Arabidopsis thaliana: one gene and its partner. The protein of the gene in region 2 interacts with the protein of the main gene of each other region in a pairwise test. Each region holds a gene or a part of one and is shown on either strand. Other genes may lie near its edges. The genes, in order: NAC020 and HB30.

Region 1 (3,907 bases), on a different chromosome or scaffold from region 2:
TTTATTAACAAACCAACAAAAAAGGGATGATGTATGTATTATCATGATACATGATACATGTCAACATGTATATCGTATGTATGTATTATCATGATTCCCCCATAGAGTCCCGCCTTTGCCAATTTCGTCATGGATATATATACACGTAAAGTTTGTTTACTATTCATTTAATAATGTCACTATTGTGTTACGTCTAATTAATTAATGTTTATTTGATACTCTAGATATCAATACTATAAGCTTGAGAAAGAGTATAGGTACTTGATACATGTGAAATGGAAATATAAAAGGGTTGATAAGATAAGATGCTTAGATCTTAATTAGCTTTATTCGCTTCCCCTTAGATCGTATCAAAGGTTGCATGTCTTTAGTTAGGCTTGCATGTTAGCTTCCTCGTTGTCTTTATTAATTAATTAATCCACATTCCTTTTGCATTTGTGATACAACATTTATATATATAGTCACATTTTTTTTTATATATAGTACTCACATTAATTACTTGTTCATATAGACTTAGACTCGATTTGTGACCAAGAAAAACAAAGTGGTGAAACAATTGGGGCATGTCTTGTTGTTGTCGTTTGATAAGTTAAACTGTTAAAGCATCTTTCGCCAAAATATTTTTCAGTTGCTATCTTTTGTTTTTTGTATCTGTCACTCTCTCTCTCTCTCCCTAAGTTATTGGTGACCACATCTTAAAGCTTCCCTAAAATGTTATTGTTATTTCTTTCTCACGGAAAAGGGAGAGTTACTTACTTGAAGTTTGAATATTATACTTTATAAGAATGGAGGAGTTTTATATATGTCGCAACTTGTGGACTCCCTCAGTATTTGATCATTTCCTTACATAAAACGTTTGATTACTTCATTCTGTTAAATTCCGTTTACAATGTTCTTCGTCTACATGTGAATTATATATATTAGCAAACGAAAAAAAACCATGTAAACGAGACATCTAATATATGACATGAGTTATATATATCATACATGTGAAGAATGAAGATGTCCTTATTTTTTTAATTTATCTTTTGGATCGAGGCCGAGAGTCGAGGCAAAAGAGATTTGACCGGAAGTTAGTAAAATTGAAGGGCCGAGAGAAAGAGAGTCAAAGATTGTGTGGGAGTAATGATGTAAAAGAGCCGAACAACGTCTTTAATCCATATGTAAAAGGGACTAAAGAAGCCTCCCAACACTAAAGCCAAAGTCGACTTGGATGCCTCCTGCTTTTTTATTCTCCCATTTTTTAATCATATATATGAATTCAATTTATAAGTATTCTTATTATAAGACCATAACAACATAAAACAATATAACAAAACTGTCAAACCGAAAAAAAAAGAAAAGAAAAAGCCGAGTGTTTAGGTGTCGCCAGGTAGATTTGGTTTGAGAAGAAGAGATGGGTCCCCTAAACTGTTGAATCATAAAAAGCCTTCATTTTTGGTTTAAAGCAAACGTTATAAAAATCCCTCTATAATGATTCATGACCCACGTTAAGGTCTAACCGGAATTATAAGCATATACATTCATATATGTGAGTATTTGTGAGATGGGGCCTTCTTGCTAAAGCTTTTTCCGTCTCTCCTCCTACTAGGGTTTTCACACTTGCAGAATCTTCAAAAGCCAGAGTTAGGTTTTTATTTAAAATATATATATTGGTTTTAGAAAATATGTGTGATGAGTATCATGACAAACACTGACCAAAAAGCAACCCAAAGTAAGACAAAATATTAATCTCAGAAGATGCCAATCCCATGGCATACTTTTACACATTCCCATATCATATCTTCTTCAGAGTCTCATCTTTTTAATTATATATAGTCACCTTCATATGTCGTACGAACATCCTAATCACTTTAATTAATCTCTCTCATCTCTTTCTCTCTCGTTTTCTAACGCATACACTTTGAATGGCGCCCATGAGTTTGCCTCCAGGATTCAGGTTTCATCCCACTGATGAAGAACTGGTGGCTTACTATCTTGATAGGAAGGTCAACGGCCAAGCCATTGAGCTCGAGATCATCCCAGAAGTTGATCTTTATAAATGCGAGCCATGGGACTTGCCTGGTACGATCCAACTCTTTATATCTCTCTCTATATATGGTTCAGCTTGTTTATGTCAATCTGACGTTATAGATTACATATATTGGTCATGATGCATTCATACATATGATATTGGAGGTTTTATGAGTTATTTATTTGGATAATACGCGGAACAGAAAAGTCATTTTTGCCGGGAAACGACATGGAATGGTACTTTTACAGCACAAGGGATAAGAAGTATCCAAATGGCTCTAGGACGAACCGTGCGACCCGAGCGGGTTACTGGAAGGCCACGGGGAAAGATCGTACAGTAGAATCAAAGAAGATGAAGATGGGAATGAAGAAGACACTGGTTTATTATAGAGGAAGGGCTCCTCATGGCCTTCGTACTAATTGGGTCATGCATGAATATCGTCTCACGCACGCTCCTTCCTCCTCCTTGAAGGTAAATTATTTCCCATGCACAAACTTCTATTAACATATATATCTATATTCATTTCTGATCTAATTTTTTTTTTTTTGATAAACCATATCGACTAATATTAATGTTGATCTAAAACAGGAGTCGTATGCATTGTGCCGAGTGTTTAAGAAGAACATACAAATTCCAAAGAGAAAAGGGGAAGAAGAAGAAGCAGAAGAAGAGAGCACTAGTGTAGGAAAAGAAGAGGAAGAAGAAAAGGAGAAGAAGTGGAGAAAATGTGATGGTAATTATATTGAAGACGAGAGCTTGAAAAGAGCATCCGCGGAGACATCTTCATCAGAGCTAACTCAAGGGGTCCTTTTAGACGAAGCAAACAGCTCATCCATATTTGCTCTTCATTTCTCATCTTCTCTTCTGGACGATCATGATCATCTTTTCTCAAACTATTCTCATCAGCTTCCATATCATCCTCCTCTTCAACTCCAAGATTTCCCTCAACTTTCTATGAACGAAGCAGAGATTATGTCAATCCAACAAGACTTTCAATGCAGAGACTCTATGAACGGGACACTTGACGAAATCTTCTCTTCTTCCGCCACTTTCCCCGCTTCCCTTTGATAAATCCATATCTCATACTATCATCTAGTACTTCTTTTCTCAACTTATTTAAATATACTCGGGTACTTCATATATAGTATTTTTTTTTTTACTTGTTTTTTGCTTATGAATTAGTTTGACTGGTGAAAAAGGGTGAGGAGGTTTGTGGAATTATTTTTTCTACCACAAAAAGAAATTGCATTATTTTATTTTAATTTTTATCATTAGGTGTGTATGGTACTTAATCACTAGAGTTGGTTGGTTTTGTCATATATAGGAGGGAAAACGGAAGTAAAAATTGTGTAATCGATCGACATTACTTATTGGTTTGCATACTTGTAGACTTAAAATCTGGCATGGGCGTCATGGCAACGCAAATTTGGAAAACTTTTCGGATTATATATGTCCGACTGCGGATCAATATCTTATTTAACTATATATATGTGTTATGAATATGAAACAAAAGTTTTAAAATCTGAATGAATAAAGAAAAAATTCTCAAGAAAAGAAGCTGAAAACAAAGAAGAGAGAAAAATCGAGACAAATTTCACTACAAACAAAATAAATTCTTTATTAAAAAAGATGAGAATTACAAGACAATGATTAAAGACATCTCGAGTTTATGATACTATATATAGTTTGTGATTGATTTGGAAGATACAAACAACATTATCATGAAGAAATCTCTAGTTTATGATACTTTTAATTTAATTTAACCAAGTGATAGTGGTCTAATAGTTTTCACTTGAAGACGAATCATCGTTTTTGTCTAGGTCATACATTGATCTCTCTCAAATGCAAGATTATTTAATCATTCTTATTATACTATCCCTAAAACAATCTTAC
Region 2 (4,440 bases):
AAAAAATGTCATTTTACATGTCTTTTGGCATTTAGATTATATCATTAAAAAAGTTGATGAAAAAAAAAAGATTATATCGTAAAAACAAATAATTGCAATATTTTGTTGAGATGTTTTACCAGTCTTGCCTTAATAGAACAGCAAGAATATATTATAAGTGAGTGGTGTCTCCAATCATATTAACCTAACGTAGTGCCTAATCTTACCAACTCTTAGTTGTATCTTTTACCATTTCAACAAATAAACAAACAGGTGTTAACTACTAGCATCGAAAATAAACACACAAAATAGTAACTGTGTTTTCATGTTTTTGAGTTATCTACATATACATTTTTGCAGCCACTATATGAAATAAATCTTCAAGTTGAGACTTATTTACAGTGGTTGTCACTGGCATTTAATAATTATTTTTGATAATTAGAAAGTAAATTTTCGAATTAAATATTTGACATTTAACTATCTTCTCAAAATCTCTCTACAATAACTACACGATTAGTTACTAAAATAAAACTTCTAAAATATTTAACATCATTTAAAAATTACAAAATTATCATTTTTGATATTGCTTTTTTTGCATGACTATAACAATTCCATTATACGCATCAACCCACATAGATATTTTATAGCAGTTAATTATTACAAAATTACAAAATATTTAGACAATGATTTATAAACATATCATAAATAAGATCAACATTAATAAAATAAATAGTTTTTTTTACTTAATAACAATTGTAAACTATAAAATAAAAATATTTTATAGATAGATACAATTTGTAAACTTTTATATATACTAACTTAAAAAAAAAAAAATTGTCCTTGCGGTATACCGCGGGTTAAAAATCTAGTAATGTCACATAATTGCAACAAATTCCCTCATTTCTTTCATAAATTTCTATATAAAGAAAAAAAGTAAAAATAAAAAAGCAAACTGATATAGAATTTAGAAAACAATTGGATTAATTGACTTTGTTATTCGGTTTTAGGAGGTTACTCATTTATCTTTCTTCTCACATTTGGTCGAAAGATACAACTCAAATCACCTCTCTAACAAAGATAAACTACTAACAAGAGTACAAACTACAAGACATAACAAAACAAAGTGGAATAGAAAAAAGATTTTGACCCGTTGACTAAAAATAAAAAATCTTCAAAACACAGAGAAGAAAAACCAAAAAAGAATTAGCCTCTAAAACGACGACGCTTTTTCAACGCTTTCCATTCTTTTCCTCACGTCGAAGAAAACGACCCATTTGTCGGAACAACACTCTGACGACTATCTCCTACTCCTCCTACTACTACTCCGCCGTTAGCTCTTCTAGCGCCGCTGCGTCCTGAAATCTTGTTGTTATGCATCCACACTTTGAAAACGCTTTTATCAACTCCAATCTCCCGACAAAACTCCTTAACCACCACGTCATCAGCTTTCGGCATCCTCCACCCAACTCTCTCCGAGAACTCGAACATCTTCTCCTTCTGATACTGACTAAACTTCGTCCTAAAACGTTTCCTAGACATTGGAACCGCCGTGTTAGCTCCTCCTCTTCCTCCAGAGAGTGCGAGAAGCATGTAAGAAGACGAGATCGGCGGTGGAGAAGCTGAATCATCGTCGTCTGGACTACGAATCCCCGCCAGATGAGGAGGAGGCGGTGGAGGAAGCTGGTGACGGTTGTGAGGTCGAAATTCGATCGCAGGGACGATGGCAGAGAGAGAAGATGGATCCTCCTCACGGCGGTGGAAGTTACGGTGGCAACCACAAGCAGCGCACGTTAGTGAAGCGGGGTCATTGGAGTTAAACGACGGTGACGGCATAAACTCGCCGCATCCGTCTAAAGCGTGACCGCCGATACCTGCTGCGTGATTCTTTAGACATTCTTTATAAGTCGCAACCGCAACCGCTTCAGATGCAAGATGATGGTGGTGGCAGCGTTTGCCGTTTGAGAAAGAAATAGGCTTCGCGGGCTGGATCCGGATCGGAGCTTCGATTTCGGGTTGTCGTGAATCCAAGTCGGATACTATAGTAGTTGTAGTAGCTATTACATCCATGACAACTCAAAACATTTAGGGTTTCGAAAAACAAGAAGAAGAAATGTTTTGTAAACTTGGGTTTTGGTTATTGTAATACAAATAAGATTTAAGAAACAAGAAGTATTATAATTTTCTAGAGATGGAGGAAGAAGAAGAATAGATGATAGAAGTAAAGATAAGGTAAAGATTGCACTAAACAAAACTGTTTTTAAATTGTAAACTCGAAATCTTTGGGATGGGTTTATGTATTTGGGAGAGATAAGATTAGAAAAGGGGAAATTTAAAACTATGTATTATTTACTCAAGTCTCTCATGGAGGAAGAAAGAGATGAGAAGTTGAAGACTGTTGATAATGAGAAATCCAAGTTGTGTGGTTGAGATTCATAATCATTATGTGTTTTTTTTTTTTTGGTTGAATATTTTTTTTTAACCATGGTTTGTTGACCCCATCTAGGGTTAATGAAAAAAGATAAGTGTAATAAATATAGGCTAATAAATAGAGTTCATAGAACAGCATCTAATGTGAGTCATGTCTTTTTCTTTTTGCTAAATTTGTATCTCCATGACGTTGACAACTTTAATAATATATACTCCAATTTTATATCAATATTAATCTTTTTTGCTACCTTTCAAATTTCAATTATTATTATTTCTCGTTATTTTTTTTTATTTTTTTTTCTCCTTATTTAAGCTGAAAATTTCGTGTGGAAGTAAAGCATGAATATAATTAAGGTTGATTCGGGTTGTTGATTCAATGATGTTAACTAAAGACAAAAGTTAATATTTCGTATTGTTGATCAAAAGCAATGTTTATCCAAAAATGTTAAAATCTCGACCTTCCCTAGTTTTATAGTTCATGGTTTGTCTTCAATCTTATGTCGAAAAAACTATCAACTTACAATCTTAAAAGTTACTCTACTACCAAATTTTTGCAAAAAAAACTATGACTAGCTTAATTTATTTACTTCTCAACTACTCCACTAATTAACTCAAAAATGTTTATTGACTATACATGTTGACGGTTAAAGTGGCCTTAAGAAAAGGAGACCACAACTAAAAAAGCTGACACGAGCAGTGGTGAAGAACGATGCCGTTTACTCCAAACTTCTTTAAAGCTGTATAAAAAAGTCTTTAATCAGAGAGGTGTAGACCAAACCTAAGATCGTTTGCAAATCCATTACTAATAATAAGTGATAAACTAACAATTCAAAGCAAAAACTCCATAAATAATTGATAGTATACCAATTTTTTTAGGAGATTTGCTAAAATATGACCGATAAATTTTATCAAAAAATTCAGACAAATTTTATGGAAGTTTTAATTTTGATGCTCTAAATCCAACGGTTGAATTCTCCGTCAAAATTTTGAATTTTAACGGGTTTCTAAAATGTCGTCTGTTTTCTTATAGTAGTAACGTAATTGTAAATCTCAACTCTTAAAACTTTTTCTTTCTTTTGACTAATGATGATATGAAATTGTCTAAATACCAAAAACAGCTAACACGCGTACATATCTTGCAACATGGCGCTACCTAATCAAACCATGTTCGTCTGTTATGGAAGACAATTCTCTTCTTCTCAAATACATTGAACTTTAACATTATACTTTAATTAATGTAGGTATATATTACGACTTGCACGACTTACCATAGCCAAAATAGGGAACCACCGTATCAACATTTCAAGCATTTAGATATAACTTGATTGTTGATTGGTCTTATTGTTACCGCACTACGATTATCTATAGATTTCATAGACAACAAAATAATATAACACATATATTATTGTTTTAGAAATAGTTATAAGGCTTTTTACTCTTTAGTTAGGAAGAATAAGGCAAACCGACATTAAATAAGCTTTATGCCCATAACAAGGATAATATTAATTAGTTTTTTTTTTTCAGGATATATTATCTGACGCAATTATTTGATGATCTATCTGTGATTTTTTCTTTCTTTCTAAAATCTATTATATGTTATGCCTGTATATGTTTTATATATACACATATCCTACTTTATGTATGTGTGCAAATGCAATTGGAAGGATTTATCATATACGATGAATGTATCGCATGGGTGGTTAGTATGCATTAATATGGACTGTTCTTAAGATTTGTGAATAAAGAAAAAAACAATGACATCTTCTTCTTCCTTTTTTTGTGTTATAAACGAAATGATTTTATTTTAATTGTATTGTTTTTGAATAGGAATGTGTAAAATTACAAGAAAATAATAATTCAAAAACTAAATATTGATGTGCATGGCAACTTGAGAAGTATTTGAGGAAACTTTAATGGCTAAAACAAGTTGGCTCTTGATTTCACATTATGCCAAAAACAAAGCTGGTTCGTCCATATATGATAATATGAGAGAAATTTATGTTTGAAATTTTAATTGAAATTTTAAACCCGATA

Evidence for each region.
Region 1: the proteins of HB30 (region 2) and NAC020 interact in a two-hybrid assay, tested with the Arabidopsis thaliana proteins (one study listed by BioGRID).

What each region holds. Positions count from the first base shown.
Region 1 is NC_003070.9:20,278,890-20,282,796, reverse strand, and holds NAC020 (NAC domain containing protein 20), read left to right. Parts: upstream 1-1,844; 5' UTR 1,845-1,907; coding exon 1,908-2,064; intron 2,065-2,216; coding exon 2,217-2,485; intron 2,486-2,602; coding exon 2,603-3,082; 3' UTR 3,083-3,290; downstream 3,291-3,907.
Region 2 is NC_003076.8:4,936,644-4,941,083, forward strand, and holds HB30 (homeobox protein 30), read right to left. Parts: upstream 2,565-4,440; 5' UTR 2,047-2,564; coding exon 1,231-2,046; 3' UTR 822-1,230; downstream 1-821. UniProt on the Arabidopsis thaliana protein: Putative transcription factor.